2 linked regions of the Coturnix japonica genome follow. The protein of the gene in region 1 purifies or fractionates together with the protein of each later gene. This does not show direct contact. Links are inferred from orthologs where the notes say so. Each region holds a gene or a part of one and is shown in the gene's direction. Other genes may lie near its edges.

Region 1 (3,647 bases):
TGCAGTGTCCACAATTAATATTTTTCAGAGGGTTTTTCTCCTGGGCACCAATTTTGGAGCTTTTATTATGAAGGTGCCTCATTTTTCTACTTGTCACCTTGGGGAATCACCTAAGGATGATTCTGCTTTACCCTGGTGCCTAAAAATTTTCCATTATGTCACTTTATATTGGAGCACCTACTTTGTTTCTTTAACTTTAGCTAGGAGTGCTTACTTTCTTAACATTTACTGTTAAATGAAATTGTGTGAATATCTTTTTCCTTTAGAGGTTATCAATTGCCCTATCAGCGTTAAAACAAAATTTTTGCTTTTGAGTGAAAAAAATAAAAGCTGATTTTTAAATAAGAGCAGCGCCATGGTGGGGATTTACAGTGCTTAGCTTAATTTCTCTGCTACATAAATTCATCAGGGCAGAACAAAGAAATATTGTATTGCAAATCTATTGTTAGGTGGCAGCAAAAGCTTTCAGTTTGCAGTTGGCTTTACGTACCTTTTCCTGAAAGCTTTTAGTGATGATGCCACAAGTCTTTTATGTGAGAATCAGTGTGAAGGAAAGATCAAGGGATCCAGTAAATTCTGTGGTGCAGCATATCAAATTACTCTTGGGACAGTCAATTAAGTATTAATGTACTAAAGGAGTATTAAAATTATGTCAAAAATGTTAAACTTTTTTTGCGTGTACTACTGCATCAGAAATTAACAGTGGGATAAGCAGTAATATTTTTTTGATACTGCTTTATTACTAAGTTTTAGTCAAGAACTAAAAAGGCTTAAGAACTATCTCTTGTAGGTGACATACTTAAAAAGTGATTACGGATGTAATTTTCCTAATATTATGACTTCCTCTGAGTTTTAAGTATTAAGGCATTTAGACTCTTGTAACAGATCATACAGTCTAAATGAAAATATTATAATTTAGATAGAATAAAGTGAAAGAGAAAAAAAGTACTATAAGCTCTGAGCTCTCTTTGTCAAAATTATTTTTAAAATGCTTTGAGATAATTGGATATTGAAAAGTGATGCATCTGCTATCCCTCCTAGGCCTGTTATATAAGGAAACAATAGGACATTCCCCCTTATGCTAGGTACTGGTTTCGAACTATCACTTTTCAGAGTTAGTTTTCAGCTTCAAACTAACTAGAATTTCCTTGCTTAAACAGGAGTACAGCATTACTTTCCTATCATGGGCTGTCTGTCGGCCACTGTGTACCACGGGGTCTTCACTCCTCTATTGGTACCAAGTATCATTTCTAGTCAGCTTTGTCCACTGAAAAGGGACTTCTTCAGACCTGTCAGAGACAAAAGGCGTAAAGGTTGTCACTTTCTTCTTACCGTGCAGGAGTTTTGACAAAAGGGGGAGGGATGCAGTTATTTAGTGCTTTGCTCAACACAGCAGCATTAAAGCTCTTGCTGGGCTCCTATCTTGCCATCATTGGGAAGAATCAGTTTAAAAGTGGAGTGCCTAAGATGGAGTGAATGTGTAGCTAGAAGTGCTGTCACCGCATAGACTCAGAGATTGTTTTACTTCCCTTATAATGTGTCATCATTAACAGCTACCTTTTGAAGAGAAAGCTGACTTTGTTATTACCCTTCAGAATTTTTTTTAATCATTAGCCACGTTCAGCTACTGTGATACAAGTATAAGGGGTTTCAGAGTTATCAAGTTCTTATGAGTTTTGTAATATCAATAGATGAGAGAAGTTCAAATGATTGCCCTTGCTTAGAGAGTACATGGCTGCATCCTGTTTATTCAGTTTGACTTTCATAGTCCAATCTGCAAGAACTGGTCTTAGGAAATACTGCTTCACTAATTCCTACTTATGAAATGCTTTGTCTCAATAATACTTTCTTATTACATATTAATTTTAAAAATCCATGTTATTTATAAATATGCTGTCATTATCATGTTATTAATCATTCACATTTCTTTCAGTATTTGCATGAGTTAGGGCAACAAAACATACAGTTTTCCTCTTTTAGTTTCTGAATGTTGTTATATTGCCTGTATGTCTTCTGCACCTGTAACTTAGACTTATAAATATTTAGCCTGTGATCAGGGAACTTGATTTAAATAGTGGCATGACAAAAACATTAAGAAAGGTAAACAGAGAAGAAACAAGATGGTGAATTGGAGAATCTGCTAATGTTTTACGTGGTAACTTTATGATTCTGCTAAAGACCTCTAATTAATTGAAAGCAGAGGCTATGGCAAAGATGACTAACATATTATGATTAATGTGGAAGAAGCAAGCTCAACAAGAATATTTAGATGAAGCAAGGTTCAGTTCTGAATTCAAAAGATCATTGAAATGTAATAAATTGCATTTGGTGTTATAAAACCAAACTGACTTCATTTATCATTTCGGGATTATTCCAAGTGAAATGAGCTGATTTCCAGAGAGAGGCATTCCTAATGAACATACTGTCAAATTATTTCAGACTTAAGTTAGCTTAAATCAAACAGCTTTAGAAAACCTTATTTTCTTAGGAAAGCAAATATGAGGTAAAAGGAAGTATATAGAGCTATTTTTCACATGGAACTGTACCTATTAAAAATGAGTTATAGAAAAGTTACGTGAAAAAGAAACAGAGTATATTTCTGATTTCTTCCAGGTAGCAATTACAGTGAAAAATGTGACGTTTTCAGTTGGGGTATTATTCTCTGGGAGGTAATCACCCGCAGGAAACCTTTTGATGAGATTGGTGGTCCAGCTTTCCGCATAATGTGGGCAGTTCACAATGGTGAGTTGAAAATGTTTGACTGCATTTCAAGTTGTATATTTCACCTATAAATTTGCTAAACATTGTGAAGCATGCATTTTTAAATTATTAGTTTTTCAATTCTATATTTAATAAGGACTTCTGTCATAAAGATTAAATATTAAGACACTAACACTTCTATGTTAGTGTGGTTTTTGTGTTATTTGGCTGCTGCATTGTTTGCATTTCCTGCCGCATGTAACCACTGTACAAATACACCGTGGAGAAAAGCAGTACATTTATTACAACTCCCCATTTTAAAAGATTGGACAGTGGTCTGAGTCATGTACTTTAAAAAAAAAAAAGATAGCTCCTTTATCTTTATCCTTTATTAAGTAATTAACCTATATTTTAAAATGTAAAAACTGTTAAATTCTGCAGGTCCTTGGGGAACTATAAATGTCACTTTGTTTTTCAACTGTTGTTGTGTCTTTTATTCTGCTGTTTGAATTGTTTTATCTAGGGTCCTGCAGTCAAGGAGCAGGAACACTTTACTGTACTAGGTATTTTACAGAACCATGTCCCAAGCACTTTAGTATAATGTACAGGAGAAATTATTGAATTAAGATGGACAAAGCAGTGGTACAATATTAGTCAAAATAGTAGATTGTAAAATCTTAATTCTGGTAGTATGGCTTTCTTAACAGAGTACTTTCAGTTACCATGGCAAATCAGAGTTGTAAGAAGAGGGCAGTAATGGTAGGGGTATAGCTAGCTCACTGAATGTCTGCAAAGAGTTTCTGCCATTTGTGAAAAACACCATCAAAGAAAGAATGAACTTGTTTGGATGATCTAATTAACAAGCAAGCAATGATGGCTGGCACTGTGCCTGAGAATTGTAGTCATATTTTCTTTTTTATTTACCTGTAACTTGTTTGTAGTGTAAA
Region 2 (3,747 bases), on another chromosome or scaffold:
GGTACTTGTGGCCCTACTTACTTGTATCGATGCAGAACAGATCATCATAAAAAATATCACCAGCTAAACCTCCATGTATGAAGAGCTTGGTCCCAACTGCAACTATGACATGTCCGTGCCGAGGAGAAGGGGGGTCACCGTGGGTGCCAGGCTGGGTCCATGTCAAAGCATCTGAAAAATGGGAATGTGTGTGTATGAGGAAAACTGTCAGCTCTACAAACCAGCAGCCCCCGAGTCTCGCTGGGGTTCCCTCCTGGGGTATGCAGGACTATAGGAACAGACAGAATAATACCAACAGGTCATGAGAAGTCTCACAGCATTTCCTGTCCCAAATCATTATACTGCCACTTTGGCCCAAGTTCCCCATTGCAATACAGAGGTGAGCACATGTCAGCAGCAACCTTCAGCCCTCAGCAACCTTCAGCCCTCCATTGAAACTCGCAGCCAAGGCTGATGAGATCTGGGAGGCAGAACTTCAGAACAGCGGGCGGTTACTTCCAGTGCCGGTACAGCTCACGACACACTCAGGTACCTGTGTCAAAGACATGAAGCTGCTGGTCTTTAACCGGCTCCGCTCCTTTGTCTCCACCTCCGAAGACGTACAGACAGGTCCCTAGAGCTGCTGAGGAGGTGTGGAATGTCCTGGGCAGTGGCGGAACACCCGTCACCTCGGGACTCTCCCAGGTTCCTATTTCTAATTAAGACATTCAATTAATAAAGCATACACGAGGTCTGAAGGGCCGCTCCGCACCGCCGGCCCGGCCCGACACCCGCTCCACCGAGGTCCGGCATCCGACGAGGTGCCGGCACTCACCGGGGTCCAGCACTTGGACGCAGCTCCGGTTCCCGGCCGGGTGCGCGCCGCCGAACACCCAGAGTCGCGTCGGAAGGCGGGCGGGCAGGAACGTGGCGTGCTCGTAGCGCGGCCGCAGCCCGCTCCAGGCAGCCGGGGCCCAGCGGTGTGTGTCTGCGGGCGGGGCGGGGCCGTTAGCGGGGAACGGCGGCGGCAGCGGGGGCTGTTAACGGGGAACGGCAGCGGCTCCGCCCGGTCCGACCCGACCCTCACCCAGCTCCACGAAGTGCGCGTCCGCGAAAGCGCCCGCGGGGTCGGCGCCGCCCAGGAGCAGCACGCGGCCCGACCCGCCCGGTACCAGCACGCAGCCGTGACCCACGCGCCCGCGGGGCCATTCACCGCGCGGGGCCAGCCGGTACCTGCGGGAAGCGACGGGCGGCGCTCAGCCGAGGCCGAGAGCCGGCCGGGACCGCGCCGCCCCGCCCCCCGCTCACCACTTGCCCGCCCGCGGGCGGCTGCCCGGCTCCAGCAGCGGCGGCAGCAGCGGCCCCATGGCGGGACCGGGCCGGGCCGAGCTCCGCCCGCCCCACACGGCTCCGGCCGCCGCCAACTTCCGGTGCGCGGCCGGAAGTTCGCGGAAGTTCCGCTGGCGTCCGAGTCTCGCGCCGCTTCCCGGAAGTGGAGAGCTCCGTTTCCGGCTCCGAGCTGCCGTCCCAAGATGGCGCCGCTGGACCTGGACAAGTACGTGGAGATCGCTCGGCTCTGCAAGTACCTGCCCGAGAACGACCTCAAGGTGGGACCGGGCGGGGGGGGGCGGGGTCGGACGGGCGGCGGTGGACGGTGCCGGTGGTTGTAGTAGCGATGGCGATAGCGATAGTGATAGCGATAGTGATAGCGATGGCGATGGCGATAGCGATAGCGATAGCGATACTGTCCGGTGCTGTTGGTGGTGCTGGTGCACACCCCGGCGCTGCTGGTGGCGCTACCCGCCGTGTTCCCGCAGCGCCTGTGTGACTACGTGTGCGACCTGCTGCTGGAGGAGTCCAACGTGCAGCCCGTCTCCACGCCCGTCACCGTGTGCGGGGACATCCACGGGCAGGTAACGGGACACGCCGCGCTGCTCGGCCGGGACGCCCCGCGGTGCCCGGTGCCGCCGCCCGCGCTGACTCGTGCCCCTTCCCGCAGTTCTATGACCTGTGCGAGCTGTTCCGGACCGGCGGGCAGGTGCCCGACACCAACTACATCTTCATGGTATGTACGTGCCGGTGCCGCTTTGCTCCTCGCGCCGTGTTGGTCCCGGTTCTGCGCTGGGTGCCGGCCCTGGTGGCAGCGCTCTGCCCTCCCACCCCTGTGCTGCCCCCGGCTGCAGGGCGGGCAGAGCCGGGCGTCCCGTGCAGGGGTGAGTGAACCATTGCTGGGGAGCTGAGCTCGTTCTCACCGCTTGGCTCCCTTCAGCGTCAGGTTCCTTTGTGCAATGAGGAGTTAAAGGTGGATGTGTCACTTTGCATTTCTCCTTTTTGCTGTTTCTTCATTCATAATTCTGTTTTGACTTTGCAGGGCGATTTTGTAGATAGAGGTTACTATAGTCTTGAGACTTTCACTTACCTTCTGGCACTAAAAGCTAAATGGCCCGATCGTATCACGCTGTTACGAGGCAATCATGAAAGCAGGCAGATAACACAAGTGTATGGATTCTATGGTAAGACTTTACCCAAGTGATTTCTGAATGGGGGCCAGCATGCCATCAACAACTACCTCCTATTTCCCTTTTGAAATCGGCTTTGTGTGTGCACTGTTAAGTGGGGCTTTACTTGAACTGGGTGGGAAACGGTCTCAAATGTTATTTAACACTGTTGTGTTCAAGAAGTAAAAGCGTTTTAGTCCATCTCCAGACCATCTTTTCCTCCAGCATCTCAGTTTTTCTTTGCATTTTTTGATGATATGCTTTGGTATCTTTAAATAAAAGATTCTACATAATTCTCTTTAGGTATAACTGAGAAAAGCATTGTCATATATAGGCTGTAATTTGCTTTCTTCTGGATAACATGATATAGTGTGTCAACAAGAGCATATATAAACATTTGTAAGCCTCGTGAAGCTCCAAAGTAAAATTTGTCCATCAGTTTTATTGATGTGTTTGTATAGCTACAAACAAAGCTACTGTAACACTTATTTGTAGTGAAAAGGTCTCTAATTAGCCCTGATGGGTTCACTGTTTCTGCCTCACTTCTCTTGCATGAAATGTAGAGTATAAACACTGCTGGGTGAGCAGGGGGGCTGTTCCCAGGCAGTCAGTGGTGGGAAGATGCTGAGGTGCTGTCTGTCGTGTTGCTTTTTCCTCTGTCTGTTGCTGAAGACACAGCAGTAGATACTGAGGTTCTCTCCCTGCTGGTGGACCACAGAAGCAGTGAGCAGTGCTTTCCAGCCAGTGCTCACCGGTTGCTCCCAGCTGTTTTTTATTTGTCTGTTTGCTTTTTGGTTTACATCTGCCTTTTTAGGTTCTGTTCTGTTTGACTCTGATCATATTGCCTGAATTCCTTCTGGTCTGTTAAGAAGAAAAAAATTCTCTATTTAACAGATGAGTGCCAAACCAAATACGGAAATGCTAATGCTTGGAGATACTGCACCAAAGTCTTTGACATGCTCACAATAGCAGCTGTAAGTGTAAACACCTTAAAAAAGATACAGGTAGATTGTCTAAATATAACTTGAAGAATTGGTGGTGGTGAGGGTGGTGCTGGAGAGGTTCTTGGTTTGGTTGAAATACTGAGCATTCTTTGTGTTCCTTTTTCTCTCCAGCTAATAGATGAGCAGATTCTCTGTGTGCACGGTGGATTGTCTCCGGACATCAAGACACTCGATCAGATTCGCACCATTGAACGTAATCAAGAAATTCCTCATAAAGGCGCCTTCTGTGACCTGGTTTGGTCTGATCCAGAAGATGTGGATACGTG

Evidence for each region. Proteins that work in one complex are often made in the same cells at the same time.
Region 2: the proteins of MAP3K7 (region 1) and PPP6C purify together in Homo sapiens (affinity purification with western blotting; 3 studies listed by BioGRID and IntAct, with this or other methods). This does not show direct contact. The link is inferred for Coturnix japonica from reciprocal best matches to the Homo sapiens genes MAP3K7 and PPP6C.

The regions. Positions count from the first base shown.
Region 1 is NC_029518.1:68,414,085-68,417,731, forward strand, and holds part of MAP3K7 (mitogen-activated protein kinase kinase kinase 7), read left to right. Parts: intron 1-2,613; coding exon 2,614-2,742; intron 2,743-3,647. UniProt on the Homo sapiens protein: Serine/threonine kinase which acts as an essential component of the MAP kinase signal transduction pathway. Plays an important role in the cascades of cellular responses evoked by changes in the environment.
Region 2 is NC_029532.1:8,073,653-8,077,399, reverse strand, and holds the start of PPP6C (serine/threonine-protein phosphatase 6 catalytic subunit), read left to right. Parts: upstream 1-1,451; 5' UTR 1,452-1,511; coding exon 1,512-1,586; intron 1,587-1,796; coding exon 1,797-1,892; intron 1,893-1,978; coding exon 1,979-2,044; intron 2,045-2,350; coding exon 2,351-2,492; intron 2,493-3,371; coding exon 3,372-3,451; intron 3,452-3,592; coding exon 3,593-3,747. Other genes in the region: RABEPK (rab9 effector protein with kelch motifs), read right to left, coding at 22-171, 533-694, 815-967, 1,067-1,212, 1,288-1,346.